Linked DNA regions of Cricetulus griseus. The protein of the gene in region 1 purifies or fractionates together with the protein of each later gene. This does not show direct contact. Links are inferred from orthologs where the notes say so. Each region holds a gene or a part of one and is shown in the gene's direction. Other genes may lie near its edges.

The links. The genes of interacting proteins can lie anywhere in the genome.
Region 2: the proteins of Rab11fip1 (region 1) and Rab11b purify together in Homo sapiens (affinity purification with mass spectrometry; 3 studies listed by BioGRID and IntAct, counting the BioPlex papers as one, with this or other methods). This does not show direct contact. The link is inferred for Cricetulus griseus from reciprocal best matches to the Homo sapiens genes RAB11FIP1 and RAB11B.

What each region holds. Positions count from the first base shown.
Region 1 is NW_023276807.1:56,678,570-56,682,069, forward strand, and holds part of Rab11fip1 (rab11 family-interacting protein 1), read left to right. Parts: intron 1-602; coding exon 603-1,045; intron 1,046-2,160; coding exon 2,161-2,935; intron 2,936-3,500. UniProt on the Homo sapiens protein: A Rab11 effector protein involved in the endosomal recycling process. Also involved in controlling membrane trafficking along the phagocytic pathway and in phagocytosis. Interaction with RAB14 may function in the process of neurite formation.
Region 2 is NC_048598.1:95,215,502-95,219,591, forward strand, and holds the start of Rab11b (ras-related protein Rab-11B), read left to right. Parts: upstream 1-1,290; 5' UTR 1,291-1,409; coding exon 1,410-1,449; intron 1,450-4,090. UniProt on the Homo sapiens protein: The small GTPases Rab are key regulators of intracellular membrane trafficking, from the formation of transport vesicles to their fusion with membranes.

The sequences.
Region 1 (3,500 bases):
TTGCCTCCCAGCTTCTGGGATTAAAGGCATGTGCCACCACACCCAACTAAGGTAGGGTCTTGTATTTTCTAAACTGGCCTTAAAGTCATATATGCTCCCACTTCCCCAATATCTGCGACTTTAGGCCTACATCACTGTGCCAAGTTCTTTATTTTTAGAAATAACTCATTATTGGATTATTATTCTAGATGGTTATAAGGGTTGAGGGTAGAGCTCTGTTGCTAGAGTACTGTGTAATAACACTCAAAAGCCCAAGTAAGATAGATGCATTGGACTACCCTTGTCTAGCATGTAGACCAAAAAAAAAAAAAAAAAAAAAAGAAAGAAAGAAAGAAAGAAAGAAAGAAAAGTACAGGGCTAGGGATATAACTTGAGGGCAGAACACTTGCCTGTTTTGTTCGGTCACTTGCACTACAAAAATGAATGGATAAATAAAAGCAAAGTTCTGTATTGTCCCCCACCTGCTTACTCTTCATTGAGGCAGTGTAGAAGAGCATTGGTATGAGAGCTGAGAGCAGCAGAGAGGAATTCACAGATGGCATCAGGAGCCCCGTTGGAGCTGCTTCCATCCAAAGGTAACCTCTCATCTTTTCTTCCCCTAGATGGTACACCCTGAAGTCCAAACCAGGAAAGAAGGACAAAGAGCGAGGAGAGATTGAGGTCGATATCCAGTTTATGAGAAACAACATGACTGCCAGCATGTTTGACCTCTCCATGAAAGATAAGTCTCGAAATCCATTTGGAAAACTGAAAGACAAGATCAAAGGGAAGAATAAGGATAGCGCTTCGGACACCGCTTCAGCCATAATCCCCAGCACAACACCCTCAGTGGACAGCGATGAGGAGTCTTTCTCAAAAGACAAGAAAAAGAAATCAAAGATCAAGACTTTGTTTTCCAAGTCAAATTTGCAGAAGACGCCGCTCTCCCAGTCCATGTCTGTCCTGCCTACTTCCAAGCTAGACAAAGTGCTGCTTCATCCCGGTGACTTGAAGTCCCGGTGGGATGATGATGACAATGAGGATGAGTCCTCCTCTGCCTCGGATGGTGAGTTTCTGTCTTTGCTCACTCATCTGCTTCCCCAGCCTTTGTTCTGAGAAGGAAGAGGCAGGTCTTTGGGTTTTAGTTACCACAGTGATGATGGTGATGATATTCATTAAGGCTTTGTTCCTTAGGAGAATACAATAGTCTTCTCCAAGGCTTTGGAGCTCACAAAATAAGTAGATTTGAGGGGATTTTGCTGCTGTTTGTTTTTTCACAGTCCTGGAATCTGGCTCAGGGCCCTAGTATGCTGGGCAAATGCTCTAACCCTGACACACATCCCTAGCACCTGTTGTATATAATAGAATAAAACTATAGGACTGTGTTGTGACAGGCTGTGTGTATGTCTGACTCTTCATTAAATCTTCAGATGTCAGCTGAGCTTCTATCACGTGCCTAACTCCCATGTGGTACATCCCTGGTGGAAGCTAAGTAGTCCAGTCTCCTTGACTCAAACTGTGTTTTTTGAACTTCAGCTTCAATTACTGAATCCCTTTTTATGGCCAGATTTTGTTACTCTATTGAGAACGTAGCCTTTTCCACTGGCTTAACATGGAATTTCTTAACTTTGGCATCACTGATTGTTTGGGTTGATAATTTCTTCTTGTGGGGAACCATCTTGTGCATAGGAGGATGCTTAGGTAACACTAGTACCTTCCAATCAGTTACCTCGATTGAAGATGTGTGCGGATGCTGATGGATTGACAGATGCCCCTGCCCATTGCAACTACTTGTTTTACCACTCCCATGCTCCTCTCTTCCGGTCTGCACGCTAGGATGAAAATGATGGCATCATACATGTTAATCAAGAACTCTGTCACTGAACTTTGCCTCAGATCCCTCACTCATATAATTTCCCTTTTTGTTTGTTTGTTTTATTCCTCTAGAGATTGAACCTCAGTGCCTGGAGCATGAAAGACAAACGCTGTAACTTGGAGCTGTATCCTCAGCTTCATTTTTTATTTAGTGTGTCTGAAGGTCAGAGGCTAGCTCGTGGGGGTGGTTCTCTTTTGACTATGTGGGTCCTGGGGATTTAATTCAGGTCACCAGCTTTGCAGTAAATACCTTCACTCTGTGAACCATCTCTCCAGAACTTACCCTTTGTGTTATTTTCTTCCCAGTCATGTCCCACAAGAGAACACCCAGTGCAGACCATACACAACTGAACCAGACCAAGAAAGAGGGGCTCTCCTTCCTCGGAGGCCTCCGGTCCAAGAATGACTCCCTTTCCAGATCTAACTTGTGTATCAATGGGAACCACGTTTACATGGAGCAGCCAGAGGCCAAGAGTGAGATCAAGGACAGCAGCCCTTCGAATTCCCCATCCCCACAGGGCTTCAGGAAGAAGCATTTGTTCTCTTCCACCGAGAACCTGGCTGCCAGATCTCCTAAGGAACCAGGGGAAGGAGGTGGCGTGACCTCTGACAGGCGACTGTCCGACTCTTCCAGCAAGGATTCTGTGAAGTCTATGTCTTTGCCATCCTACCGACCTCTGACCAGTGGGGACAGTAGAGAGAGTATGTCTCCAGCAAATACGGAGGCTACAAAAGAAACAAAAGAGAGCAAGAAGCAGGAGAACAAGAAATCCTCTTTGCTTTCTCTGGTGACAGGAAAGAAAGATGTGGCAAAAGGCAGTGAAGGCGAACCTCTTCCCATTGTCTCAGAGAAAGAGAAGGAAAGGCAAGGCACGAGCACGGAAGCCCAGCTGAGGGAGGAAGACCTTGGACGAAAGTCTGAGAGAGATGTTGTACCTGTTGCCTCCCAGTGGGGCAACTCCCTGAATCCCTTTGAAGATGTGCAGATCTCAAACCCAGAAGCCAGCCTGGAGTCTAAGTCTGAACCGAAGCCACCAGTTCCCGCTCCAAGGGCTCCCCAGACCAAAGCTGTAAAACCTAGGTAAGTCCTAGTTTTTTACATGTGGGACCTTTCTCTGCCACTACCTGGTATTTAGCAGTTTCCACTAGAGCAAATCTGGTCAGTTTCAGGATGTGTGTGCAAAGGTCTGCTAGTCTTAAGTCATTTGAACCAGTCACCTCTGCTGGCCTGGCCTGGCCTGCCCAATGCAGAGGACAAAAGTGTTTCCCAGCCTAAAGCTCAGCCATGCATGGGTGGGGGTTGTTTTTCTCAGTGAGCTAACCAGACTCCAGTGAAAAGAGACACTCTGTGGTCGATTCTGAGCATATGACCTGGTTGCATTGAGTACACAGGTTGAACCCATGTTTAAGTTTTCAGTGCACTGCCATTGGAGATGGCTGCCTCTCCTGGCACTTGGCATCAGTTTGCTAGTGTTCGACACCCCTGGTCCATCCTTTAGTGTACCTGTGACCATTCTGTTTCCTCTGTGCCTGATCATGAGAGCCTGCCTCAACCTGAACAATCTGTTTTCTGAGTGACTTCCATGTTGACATTTCTCTGGTATGGGGGTGGAGAGACAAACTTTTGGAGATTGTACACACAGGTT
Region 2 (4,090 bases), on another chromosome or scaffold:
GGGTTGAAGAGATGGCTCAGTGGTTAAGATCACTGGCTGTTGTTACACAGGATTCAGGTTTGATTCCCAGCACCCACATGGCAGATCACAACTGTCTGTATCTTCAGTCTCAGGGCTGGCCTCTACGGGGAACTGCATGCACAGAGTGCACAACATGCAAACAAAACATACATACATACATAGATGTAAAATAAATACAATTAAGCTGCATTCCTTTCCCTTAGTATTCTGCCCAGCCTCTGAATATTTGTTAAACAAAGACTTCATGGCACAAAGCAGACTGTTAATTGTGTATGTGTTTAAGGAAACAATCCACATAATCTCAGGAACACATGAGCAGAGAAAGAAAATGAGATCAGAGAGGTAACTTCTAAGTTACCAGTGTATAAGAGGATCACAAATTCAAAGTCAGGATGTGGTGGCAAATGTCTTTTAATCCCAGTACATTTGTGTGTGGCAGAGGTAGGTGGATCTCTTGAGTTCTACACAGCAAGTTCCAGACAAGCTGAAGCTACACAGTCGAGACCTTGTGCTCCAAATAAGGCAGGGGAAAAAAATGTTCAAAGTAATCCATAAATAACATAGCAAATTTAAAGGCAGCCAGAGTAACATTAGGCCTTGTCTCAAAAAAAGAAAACCAGACAGGTGTGGTCTGATTCACATCACTAATTCCTGTACAACCAGGTTTACTTAGTGAGAACCTGTCTTTAAAAAAGAAAAAAAAAAAAAAGTGAGTACTGATGAAAAGCAGAAAACAGAAGACTTAATTTGTTGAGAAAAGGAGCAAATAAAGAAGTCTAGGATCCCTATTTGTTTGGGAGGTACTGACATAAGCTTTAGGTTTAAACAAAGAATTGGGGGACTACCACCCAGAGAAGGTTCCCGCAGTCGTCATACACACACACACACACCCGGAAATGGTCGTTTATGGGGCTAGGGTAAGAAGCCAGGGCAGACGCACTGACCTATGATGTCATTAGGACGTTAAAGTCCTTAACATCACCTGGAGGGAGCTCAATTTCCCTTCCCCGACAGGTCCGGGGAAAGCCGATTCTGAATGCAGGCCCTCATTGGTTACGCCCTCTGTCAATCCACTTCATTGTTCCAGTCTTCCGCCCCGCCTTTCCCCCCTCTGCTTCTGATAGGCTCCTGAGCCTGTCACTTCGGAAAGGTCCGCATTCCTTCCGCCTTTCTCCATGAGACCGAGGGCTAGAAGGGTGGATCCCAAGAGGCTCCCACCCACCTGAGCTCGGCTCCTAAGTCTGATTGGCTTGCTCGGGTGCCTGTCACTACCGCTTTCGCCGTTGACTGGTCGTCGGACCGCCGCTCTGCGCGGCGCCGGTTCCGCCCCCGTCGGGTGTTTGTGGTGGGGCTGCGGAGTCGCCGATCCCGCCGGAAGCGCCAGGACAATGGGGACCCGGGACGATGAGTACGACTACTTATTCAAAGGTGCGCCCGGTGGAGTACAGGCGGGCAAGGGCGCGGTAGCGACGGGAGGGTCGAGGCCGCAGTACGGGGCGAGAGGGTCCAGGGTGGAGCCCCAGGCTTCAGCGGGGCCCTATCCCGGGTAGAGAGTCGGAGGAAGCCACGGCAGGCCGAGCTCACTAGGCTTCGGGCCCTAGTCCGCAGCAGTGAGAAGAGGGAGGCTTAGAGAGGCCTGTGGACCCCGGATGCACCGGGGCGGGGCCGGGCCCTGGAGAGGGTGGGGCCCGGAGTGGAAGGCGAGGCCGTTGGGGCGGGGCTCCATGAGGGGCGGGGCTTCCCTGGGTTTGGCTGGCGGGCTGCGTTGAAAGCGTTGACAGCGGGGGGTTATAGATGGGGTTAGGGCAGTTGAAGAACATTGTGGGCGTGCCCAGGAAGCCTGATTGGTGTGAGACTTCTAGGGCTGGGCCTGGACTGGTAGGGGCGGGGCCTGCCTTTGGGGGGGGTGGGGCCTGGGTCACGTGGTGCAGGAGCCCTAAATTGTGGTGCCTTGGAATTGGGTGGGATGGTGCCTGTGTGTGCAGCGGTAGTTCAAACTCTGAGTAAATGATGGAGATGTAGTTCAGTTGGTAGAGAGAGAGCTTGCCTAGCAGTAGCAGGCACAAAGCCCCGGGCTTTATCGCCAGCACCGTATAAACCTTGTGTGATGGTGCAGGCGTTGGGTGGTCTGCGCTTGGGAGGCAGACGTAGGAAGATCAGAAGTGCAGAGGCCAGCCTGGATTACTGGAACTCAAAGGAAAAAAAAAAAACACGTGGATGACATTGGGCCAGTACATACACTGTTCTGAGACTTTACATTAATGACTCCTTTTAATCCTCTTTATCAGTTTATACAGTCCATATTATCCAAGAAACATGCTTGTAAGTGGTGCACACCTGAAATCCCATTACTCAGAGTTGGAGTCAGGAGGATCTTTTTCTATTTCAAAGTCAACCTGGGGGTGATGAGATAGGTCAACAGGTATTTGTGTGTGCTGCCAAGCCTGATAACGTGAATTCAGTCTTGGGGCCTACATGGTAGAACAGAGTCTGCAAGTTGTCCTCTGTCCATGTCACATGAGCCCACGCACATACAGCACACAGAATAAATAATGTGATTTGGCCAACTGTGGTGGCACTTGCCTTAAGTTCCAGTACTCAGGAGGGAGCTGAAACACACAGTTCTGTGAAATTCAAGGCAGGCAAGCCTGGTCTACATAGAGAGTTCTAGGTGTGGTGGAATGCCAAGTGAGACCCTATCTCAACAAAAATTTTTAAAGATAACATCAGTTACATAGCCATATCCTGTCCTCAAAACAAGAAGGAAACTGAAGTTCAGAGAGACAAGTTCCTGAGGGAGGAGCAGGATTGAGCTCTGGACAGTTTAGGGAGTTTTTGCCACTTAGGGTATGAGCTTTGGGGCAAGTTTTGCAGCTTAGATCTGGAACAAACAGGTGTCAGACCTCCCCTCAACACATACACATCCAACCCACTGGAAGAGTTTCCTACCTGTAGCATGATCAATAAAAGACCCAGAGACTGATATTGGGGTTCAAACTTTAAGCTGAAGATCAGAAAAGCAAAGCAGCTGGCTATTAGTTCTTTCTTATAGCTCAGGCTGAAAGGCAATCCTGGCTCCACCAAACCTCATACTGAAATCCCAGACTGTTCTGCTCTCTTCCGAGAGGCTAGAGAATCTTTAGACTCCAATGTCTTCCTATCCTCAGTGTGGCTGGAGAATGAATGCCAGCTCTGAGACCCTGTTCCTGTCTAAATAACCTTTCATGAGTCCTGGGATTAAAGGTGTTGGCTCTGTTACTCTTTTAGACTGATTCAATCTCGTGTAGCCCTGGATGGCCTTGAACTCAGGGAGATCCATCTGCCTTTGTCTCCTGAGTCCTGGGATAAAAGGTGTGTACCACCACTGCCTGATCTCGGTAGCTTGAGGCTTACTTGCTTTCTGAATCCTCAGGCAAGCTTTAATAAAACATACTATATTACCTCACCCCCCATGTCACTGGGGTCCCTCATTTCTCTGATGAACATATTTAGGGGTCTCTGGCATGATGACACCTTCTATGCCAGGCGGGCTTTTTGGTCCTGTGCTGTTTATGCTAGGCTCCCCACCAGACAGTGGCTGCTTTTGAGCTAATTTCTGAGCACTAAAGGGACACACAGTTGCCCTTCTGGGAGTGTGTCCTGGTGCTTAAAGCCAGCCTTGGCATCTTGGGTTTGTGGAGGTAGTAGGGATAGCCATGTGACAAAAGGTTCCTAGGCAGAGACAGAGGTCTGCAAAGATGCAGAGTTAACCACATAGCACCATGGCCTGGTAGTGGGCTGTGTCCAGATGTAAGTGATTAGCAGGTGTAGGCTCCAGGTATCACTCTAGAGGCAGAGGATGATTTGGAAGGATTTTTGGAGACCAAATATTTGAAGGGCTTTCTGGTGATGGGTGGAACAGACTCAGGCCCTAAAATGGCAAGGACCTGTCCCCACACAACCTACCCTGAGGAAGCTTCAGGCAGGACAGGGAATCTTTTCCCTTCAAGTCAACACATTGAGCATCTGTGGTCATTCCTTGCTTGTTTTCGACCTTTTGCTGTTATAAATAGCTTGGCATTGAATGTGT